Coturnix japonica: one gene and its partner. The protein of the gene in region 2 purifies or fractionates together with the protein of the main gene of each other region. This does not show direct contact. Links are inferred from orthologs where the notes say so. Each region holds a gene or a part of one and is shown on either strand. Other genes may lie near its edges. The genes, in order: TIMMDC1 and ACAD9.

What was found.
Region 1: the proteins of ACAD9 (region 2) and TIMMDC1 purify together in Homo sapiens (affinity purification with mass spectrometry; 3 studies listed by BioGRID and IntAct, counting the BioPlex papers as one, with this or other methods). This does not show direct contact. The link is inferred for Coturnix japonica from reciprocal best matches to the Homo sapiens genes ACAD9 and TIMMDC1.

Annotation. Positions count from the first base shown.
Region 1 is NC_029516.1:82,792,643-82,796,556, reverse strand, and holds the start of TIMMDC1 (complex I assembly factor TIMMDC1, mitochondrial), read left to right. Parts: upstream 1-1,323; 5' UTR 1,324-1,371; coding exon 1,372-1,466; intron 1,467-1,620; coding exon 1,621-1,786; intron 1,787-2,114; coding exon 2,115-2,203; intron 2,204-3,700; coding exon 3,701-3,768; intron 3,769-3,914.
Region 2 is NC_029527.1:3,505,253-3,508,966, forward strand, and holds part of ACAD9 (complex I assembly factor ACAD9, mitochondrial), read right to left. Parts: intron 3,376-3,714; coding exon 3,300-3,375; intron 2,741-3,299; coding exon 2,670-2,740; intron 2,345-2,669; coding exon 2,225-2,344; intron 1,338-2,224; coding exon 1,209-1,337; intron 776-1,208; coding exon 696-775; intron 191-695; coding exon 61-190; intron 1-60. UniProt on the Homo sapiens protein: As part of the MCIA complex, primarily participates in the assembly of the mitochondrial complex I and therefore plays a role in oxidative phosphorylation.

The DNA of each region.
Region 1 (3,914 bases), on a different chromosome or scaffold from region 2:
GTTGCCTGGTGCGTTGTTTCTCAGAACGGTAAGAAAAGCTCTGGATAGTCCCCAGCTGTCTCAATGAGAAGGGGAAGTTTGTATTTCTTGTGGTATTTTTTTTTTCCCCTCTTTGACAATATTTTTAGGGCACCTCAGTGGAATCTGTGAAATACACCCATCCAAGTAGCCGAGTCATGTGTGACGGTGACTGAAAACTCTTCCTGAATGATGGCTTGCGTGAGCTGGTGACTCCTCAGCCTTTTTCCTTAGCTGCTTTCCTAGAACAGCCATGAGTAACTGCCTCCACTCCTCCCTCACAGGATGGGCCTGCACTGGCAGGGAGGTGACTCCTAGAAGTGATGGGACTTCCCTCAGGGCTGCCGTTGAGATAAAGGGTGGGATGTGAAGGGTGTTCTGCACAGTGCCTGTAAGCACGTGTAAGATGTACTGCCATAGCACTGGAGACCCACACTTCAGGGTGAGCCCTTGCACAAATACAGATATTTGGAACCTCCCAACGACTTACAACAGTAAGAATCAAGACGGTAGAACCAGAAGCTGGCACAGGTCTCAGCGGCCTGTGATGGTGGCACTGCTGCTGGGCCAGATCTGCTAATGGGAAGCACAAGCGAAGACCCAGGTGGTGTGTCATGTTCATGGCATCATAGAACTATTTGGGTTGAAAGGGACCTCGCAGCCCACCCAGCCCCAACCCCCTGCCATGGGCAGGGCTGCCCCCACCAACTCAGGCTGCCCAGGGCCCATCCAACCCTGAGTGCCTCCAGGGATGGGGGCAGACACAGACACCATGCGATAGAAAATTGGCAGCCAACACGGGAACAAAAGCCATGGGCCCTTCTCTTCCCTTCCACACACAGAAGCTCGCTCACTCTGCAAGGGGTTCCCAAGCCCCACCGTGCCCCACAGAATCACACAGAATCACAGCATGACCCAGGTTGGAAGGGACCTCAAGGATCATGTAGTTCCAACCCCCCTGCCTGGCAGGGCCACCAAACATACGCCTTTACTAGATCAGGTTGCCCAGGGCCCTGTCCAACCTGGTCTTGAACACCTCCAAGGACGGGGCATCCACAACCTCCCTGGGCAGCCTGTTCCAGGGCCTAACCACTCTCCTAGTAAAGAACTTCCCCCTAACATCCAACCTAAATCTTCCTTCTTTTAACTTAAAGCCATTTCCCCGTGTCCTGCTATTGTCAGCCCTTTCGAAGAGTTTACTCCCCTCCTGGGTGTAGGTTCCCTTCAGGTATTGAAAGGCTGCAATGAGGTCACCCCGCAACCTTCTCTTCTCTAGGCTGAACAAACCCAACTCCCTCAGCCGTGGAGCTGGGGGCGCTGCGGTGCTCGCTCAGCGCCGCCGCCGGGAAGGTTATGGCGGAGGGGCTGGGAGCCGGGGGCACCTTCGGCCGCCCCACGCCGCCGCCGCAGACGGGCTGGGAGCGGCTCAGCGAGCTGTGGCGGCGCGAGTGAGGGCCGGGACGAGCCGGGACGAGCCGGGGCGGCGGGAGGGACGGAGGGAGGGGGTTCCGGGTGCGGGGCCTGGCGCTGCCCCGCGGAGCGAGGAGCCGAGGCCTGTCCGAGCCGCGCGGCTCCGCGCTGAGCCGCGGCGTTTCCTTGCAGCGAGTTACAGCGGTACCCGGAGGAGACGATCAACATCATCAAGTCGGCGTTCACCGGGGGCCTGGTCGGCTGGCTGTACGGCGGCCTGCCCGCCTTCCGCCAGGCGAGGAGGGCCTTCATCGAGGGCAGCCAGGGAGACGTGTTCCACAACCGCGCCGATGCGGTGGTACGGGGCCGGGGGCGAATCGCGGGGAGAGCTGCCTGCGGCCCTCGGTGCTGAGCGGGGGTGGTGGAGGGGATGATGTGCAGGCAGAAGCACGATGGGGTGGAGTGGTGTCGGTTTGCCTCTGCGAGTTAATTGTTGGGGTGCCTGTTCAGGTGTAAACATAGACTCCCATTCCTCAGGAAGGGATCGGCTTTATTTACCCTTAGGGGGTGCCATTCCCAGCGCCTCGAGTTGGGTCGGTGCCGCTCGGCAGCAGCCCGCAGCACAGTGGGATGATAGTGAAGGGGAGCTGGGCTGCCGACTGTAACCCTTCTCCTCCTCCCCACAGCAATCTGCGCACCGTGCCGGGCTCAGGGGCTTCATCCGCTACGGCTGGCGCTGGAGCTGGAGGGTGGCCACCTTCGTGGCCATATTCAAGTAAGTGTTCACTTTGTGGCAGCATTTTTCTCTTGGAGAGGGTTACAGTGCACCGGCTGTTCTGGAACTGCTTTCTTTGGAGTCCAGCGGAGGGCCACAAAGATGGTGAAGGGCCTGGAGCATCTACCCTGTGAGGAAAGGTTAAGTGAACTGTGTTTAGCCTTGAGAAAAGAAGGCTGAGAGGGGAACTGATCCAGGTCTATAAACATCTAAGGTGTGGGAGGCAAAGTGGCGAGGCCAGACTCTTCAGCAGCGTGTGGAGACAGGATGAGAAACTGGAGCATAGGAAGTTCTGCATGAATGTGTGCAAGAACTTCTTTACAGTGAGGGTGACGGAGCACTGGAACAGGCTGCCCAGGGAGGTGGTGGAGTCTCCTTCTCTGGAGATATTTAAGACCCACCTGGACGCCTACCTGTGTGACGTGGTGTAGGGAGCCTGCTTTGGCAGGGGGGTTGGACTCCACGATCTCTAGAGGTCCCTTCCAACTAATTTTTCTCCTTTTTGTTACATCTTATCACCTTGTGTACAGTGTTGTGTACAGTGGCAATACTTACAGTTTGTAAGTAATCACAACTAGGAACATCACCATGCCCAATGCCACAGTATCTTTTGCCACAGTATCTTTGCTTGAGTGCAGTCAGGATGCTGTTTGCTTTCTCTTCCAGAACTTCTAATGCTTTAGATTTTTCAGGACTAGTCGTGCATTGTCATTGCCATCCACCAGATGTCTCCCATGCAAGCAAATGCATCGTCCTTTTCACTGCCCCTTTGTGAAAGGCTCTGAAGGGAGGCGCTGCTCAGTGTTACTTGTTTCTGTATGGAATCATAGAATGTCCCATGCTGGGAGGGCTCCACAAAGAATCATTGAGTCCAACTCTGGGCTCTACACTCAACTCCCTAAACTCTGGCTGTGCCCACTACCCTGGGCAGCCTGTGATGTGCCCCCCACCCTAAAATCTAAGTTGAAGGTTTTGTGCTGCAGTTAAATACATGTCCAGTTTTGTGGTTTACAAACAGGTTGTTAGTTCCACATTTTGGAAGGGTTGAAGTTACATTGGTAGAGAGAGAGATGGTGGAGGTGGTGCTCCTAATCCAGCAGGGGACCTTCTGCTTCAGGAGCGGGTAGTCCTGGTGACACCTCGGGTACGATTCAGCCCTAGTGGTAGCTGTACGGTTGAGAGGATCATTGTATTGCTCAATCCCTTTTATTCTTGAATATAGGATGAATTAAAAAACTAAAAAATTGAGTATTTGATTTACAAGAAAGGAAAAAAGACTATCCCAAAGTAGTACTCCCCAACCTCTGGCTGTCCAGCTGCATGCGGTAAAGTTGTGGAAATAAAGCACTTGTGGTTGGCATGTGTGTATGTGTGTGCTCTGGCCAGGCTGGTAGCAGGGCACAGAGGTACCCTGAGGGTTGGCTTAATGAAATCCTGCTTCTTTTCAAGCGGTGTCTTTTTCATGTGTAACTGCCTCTTTATGCCTCACCCCTACAGCATGGTGAGCACCGGTCTGTCCGTGTACCGCGATAAAACCACCATCAGTAATTTTGCTTCAGCAGGAGGTAAGACTGGGTACTTTTATCTGTGTGCTTTACTTTATCAGTGTCGTTAAGCAGAGGTCATAAATAGAAAATCATAAGCAGGAATCTGTATCTCTTGAATATGAGCAGGCCTGTGGCATCGTTGCACCCATTTTGCTGTTATGCTG
Region 2 (3,714 bases):
CTTCATTCAGCAAAAAAGGTACAAAGGGAATCAAACATCAAAGCAGTGCCTGGTTCTCACCTGGAGGCTGGGATGCACCAATCCACCACGTGCTTCCATTATCCCGTAATCCACTTTTCTGCCCGTTGTGTCCCGTACTTTGTTGACCAGCTCCTGCAGTGCCAGTCCTACGTTTCCTTTCTTGATTTCTCTAGAAGTAAAGGACAATGGGATGCATTGGCTGGTATGCGAGGGAAGTTTCAGGGTAAGCGCATTATCGAGATATCTGCAGTGTTTGGAGCCTTTTGGTCCATTTTACTATGAAGTCTGGAGGACCACCCAGCCTTAGGAGCATTCAGCACAGCCCACACTCCATTCCTGCTCTAAATGCAATGAACTGCAGACACCAGCCTACGTATGCACTGCAGATGCTACAGCTGGCTGACCAGCAACACTTGGTATAAAATCTGAGGTCACTAGGCCTTATTATAATTATACACAAGCTGCAAATACAAGGTAAGATACAGTCAGGCAGGAGTCCCAAACATAGAAAATACAGCCAACTAAAAAGAAAAGACAGCTGTACGTTGAACTGCCCGTCAGACAATATATTGGGAAATGCAGCAGTTTTCCAACCATTTCCCCCTTGCATACAGTTAAAATTATCACTGTTTATTTAGTTCATTAAAAACTAATAGCAATAAATAAGAACATACTTAAGTTTGTCAGTTAAGATTTTGCCTGCGTGCTGCATACCCGTCAGAGCAATGTACATCCGCAGGATCTCGTTTGTTCCCTGCAAACAAACACACTGCAGTCACTGCCGAGTACAAAGTATGTTCAGTATCCCCAAGGCCTGGCTGTGCTGATATGGATTTTGTTGTAGCTTCAACACTATTCACTGCCTACATAAATGACGTACTCTGCTTTTCCTGGCAATATTCTACGGTGCATTTGTGCTTGTGAGGTACCATTGTTTTGAGACAGCAGCAGAACAAGATAACCATCACATGTAGGTTAATCAATAAAACCCATCAACTCCAAGTTTATTATAGGACAAATACTACCTATATCACCAAAGAAAGCAAGATTAGTTCTTCAGGCTTATTCCAACTATTACAGACTTCAGATCTAACCAGATCAAGGCCGATTTAAACGTCCTGCACACTTCAGGTTTACAGAAGCTGCGTGTGGTGGTGAAAACAAACAGCACATTCATTCATACTTGCCTCAAAAATGAGCAGTATCCTGGAGTCTCTGAGATAGCGCTCATAGGGGTATTCCTTCATGTAGCCGAGGCCTCCAAGAATTTGCAGAGCTTCGCTTACACAAGTCCACAAACCTTCAGAACTGAACACCTGCCATTAACAGCATTCAGTCACCATGGTTCACACAGTAAGAGCAGACGACATAGCTCTGTTACTATACTGCAAGTTCAAACAGGATGTAACACTGAATTTGGAGGGATTCTATCTGTGCCATTGCTGTAACACTTCGTATCGCTTCCACAGCAGCCCTGCATAAAGTTTTCATGAAATAATGTTCTTGTGCCTCAGGGTGTCAAAGTGAAAAGTTACTTGAACAATGAACACCTCCTCTACTTGCAGTCCACGTAAACTGCCTAATAAGGCCACATTTCCATAGGGCTCAGAGCCACAAGCTGAAAGAACAAACACAGCTGGTGTTTCTGAGTACCTGACACTGGCCCATTTCACACACGTTCTGAACTCAGCACACAGCAAAGAGCAGCACAAGGGCTGAATTTCCAGCTTCTCTTCAGGCTGCACTGCCAGCCAACAGCACCCACCTGTGTGCTGCAGGGACGCCTCAAAAGGTCGAACTCCTGAGTGGGCCTGGCTCTCACTGAGTGAAATCTGCAACTGATTCTGTGTCCAAGCCAGAATTAGGAGCTCCCTAATCAGGTCTGCAGCTGGAAATAAAACTTAAACACTTTCTTTGTGTGTGAAATTGCATAAAAGAGAATTCAAGAGGACCCTGACACTCCAAGTGTGCTGTATGCGGCCTGTCTTTTGTGTGGGGATACAAGCCTGAATGTACAGTAATCTGTAATGTATGGGAAACAAAAAAAGTCTTCTAATTTTTAAATCAAGCTGATGTTTTTGTATGTACATCCAAAAGTATCACCTGAGCCTCTACGCAGTTTGTAACATAGACTGAAGATCAAGGAAGGCGTCTGTCTTTATTAGCTCAGTGCTGACAGCAAGTCCTTCCTAAGATGAATTACCTTGACCATGGCTGCCTCCACAGAGCAGTCTGGGATGCCCGGCCTGTCCATCATTCCTGCTGTGAGATAAGCCATGCTCTCCATTACATACGCCTTCACGGCCATTAAGCAAAACTTCTCCTGCCAGATAGGAATGAAAGCAGTCACACGCTGATGCAGAACACGTAGCCAAGTGTGCAACAATGCTGAAACTGAGGAGTTTTTCTTCCTATGCTTTGACATATTATCCAATAATATCTAATAAAAGCAGTACTGCAAAGCACTCATGAAAACTCTTCAAGTACTTTTGCTTCTCAAAATTACAAAGATCAATGTACAGAAATCTGCCCTGAATTGACACAAATTGAACACCTCTTGTGTTTGATCTGTTACACACAGCACCGTCTGTCACAGCACTCAGCAAAACAAAGCACGGAGGTGAAGGGTTTCCATTTTTTTTAGTTACCTGAATTAATCCGAATTCGCTCAGATTCTTGTTGAATTGCTTCCTGGTGCAGGCGTGCTCCGCTGTCATTTCTTAAAAACAAACAAAAAAGCCACAAAGCAATAATATCAGCATAGCACAACACTCATTGCTGTGGTGTATCATCCCTACTGTATGGAAACAGTGCTTTTCTATTGACTGAACAACCCCCACTGCTTCCTTGACAGCACACACTGAAAATCCCCCTAAGAACGACTGTGTGATTGAGTCTGGAATGCCTGCCAAAGGCTTTTAACCAAGACCCACCCTCCATACCTGCATGTAGAGGAAGCCCGTTTTAATGCTAATTAATTACTTTTTTTGACAGATGCCCGTTAGCACTTTGGGTAACTATTGGTAGAAGCCAATTTTAGTGCCTGAAAACTTTGAACCTGATTGTGTTCATAAGAGGAGGCAGAATCTTCAGCGTTCTACAAGTTTTTAAATCAAAATTCAAAGTAAAATTAGTGTAAAATTATACATCAAGGTATATAATGACTGACATTAGTGATGTTCTGATCAAGACTAATGTTACTGATAAATATACCTTACACAGATCAATTTTTTTCCCCCCCATGGCATCTAGTAATCCAGCACACCTCATTCACTCACCTATCAACTTTTTAATCACTCCAGCAGATGCACTACCCATGCTGAACCTTCCACTGTTCAGGATATTCATGGCAACCTGTGGAAATAAAAAAGGGCGACATTTCTCTACTGAAAAATGACAAGAAAACGTGCTGGATTTCAGAGGAATGAGCTGGAGGAAACAGCCCAGAAAAAGCCCCCAGACACAGAGAAATATCTGTCCTGTACAGCACAGGAGAAAGGCATACGTGTTTATACTGGTGCTGCAGCTCGTCTCTGCTGTTACAGAGGAGGAAGGCAAAAATTCTACCTGGAAGCACAAATATTGATTTGATTTTTCTTTTAAATTTTCAGTCTATACCCAACAGTCTCATCTTAGTGAACACTATTACCCTCACAGGGTACCACGCTGCTCGGATGCAATGAAGAGAAGCCA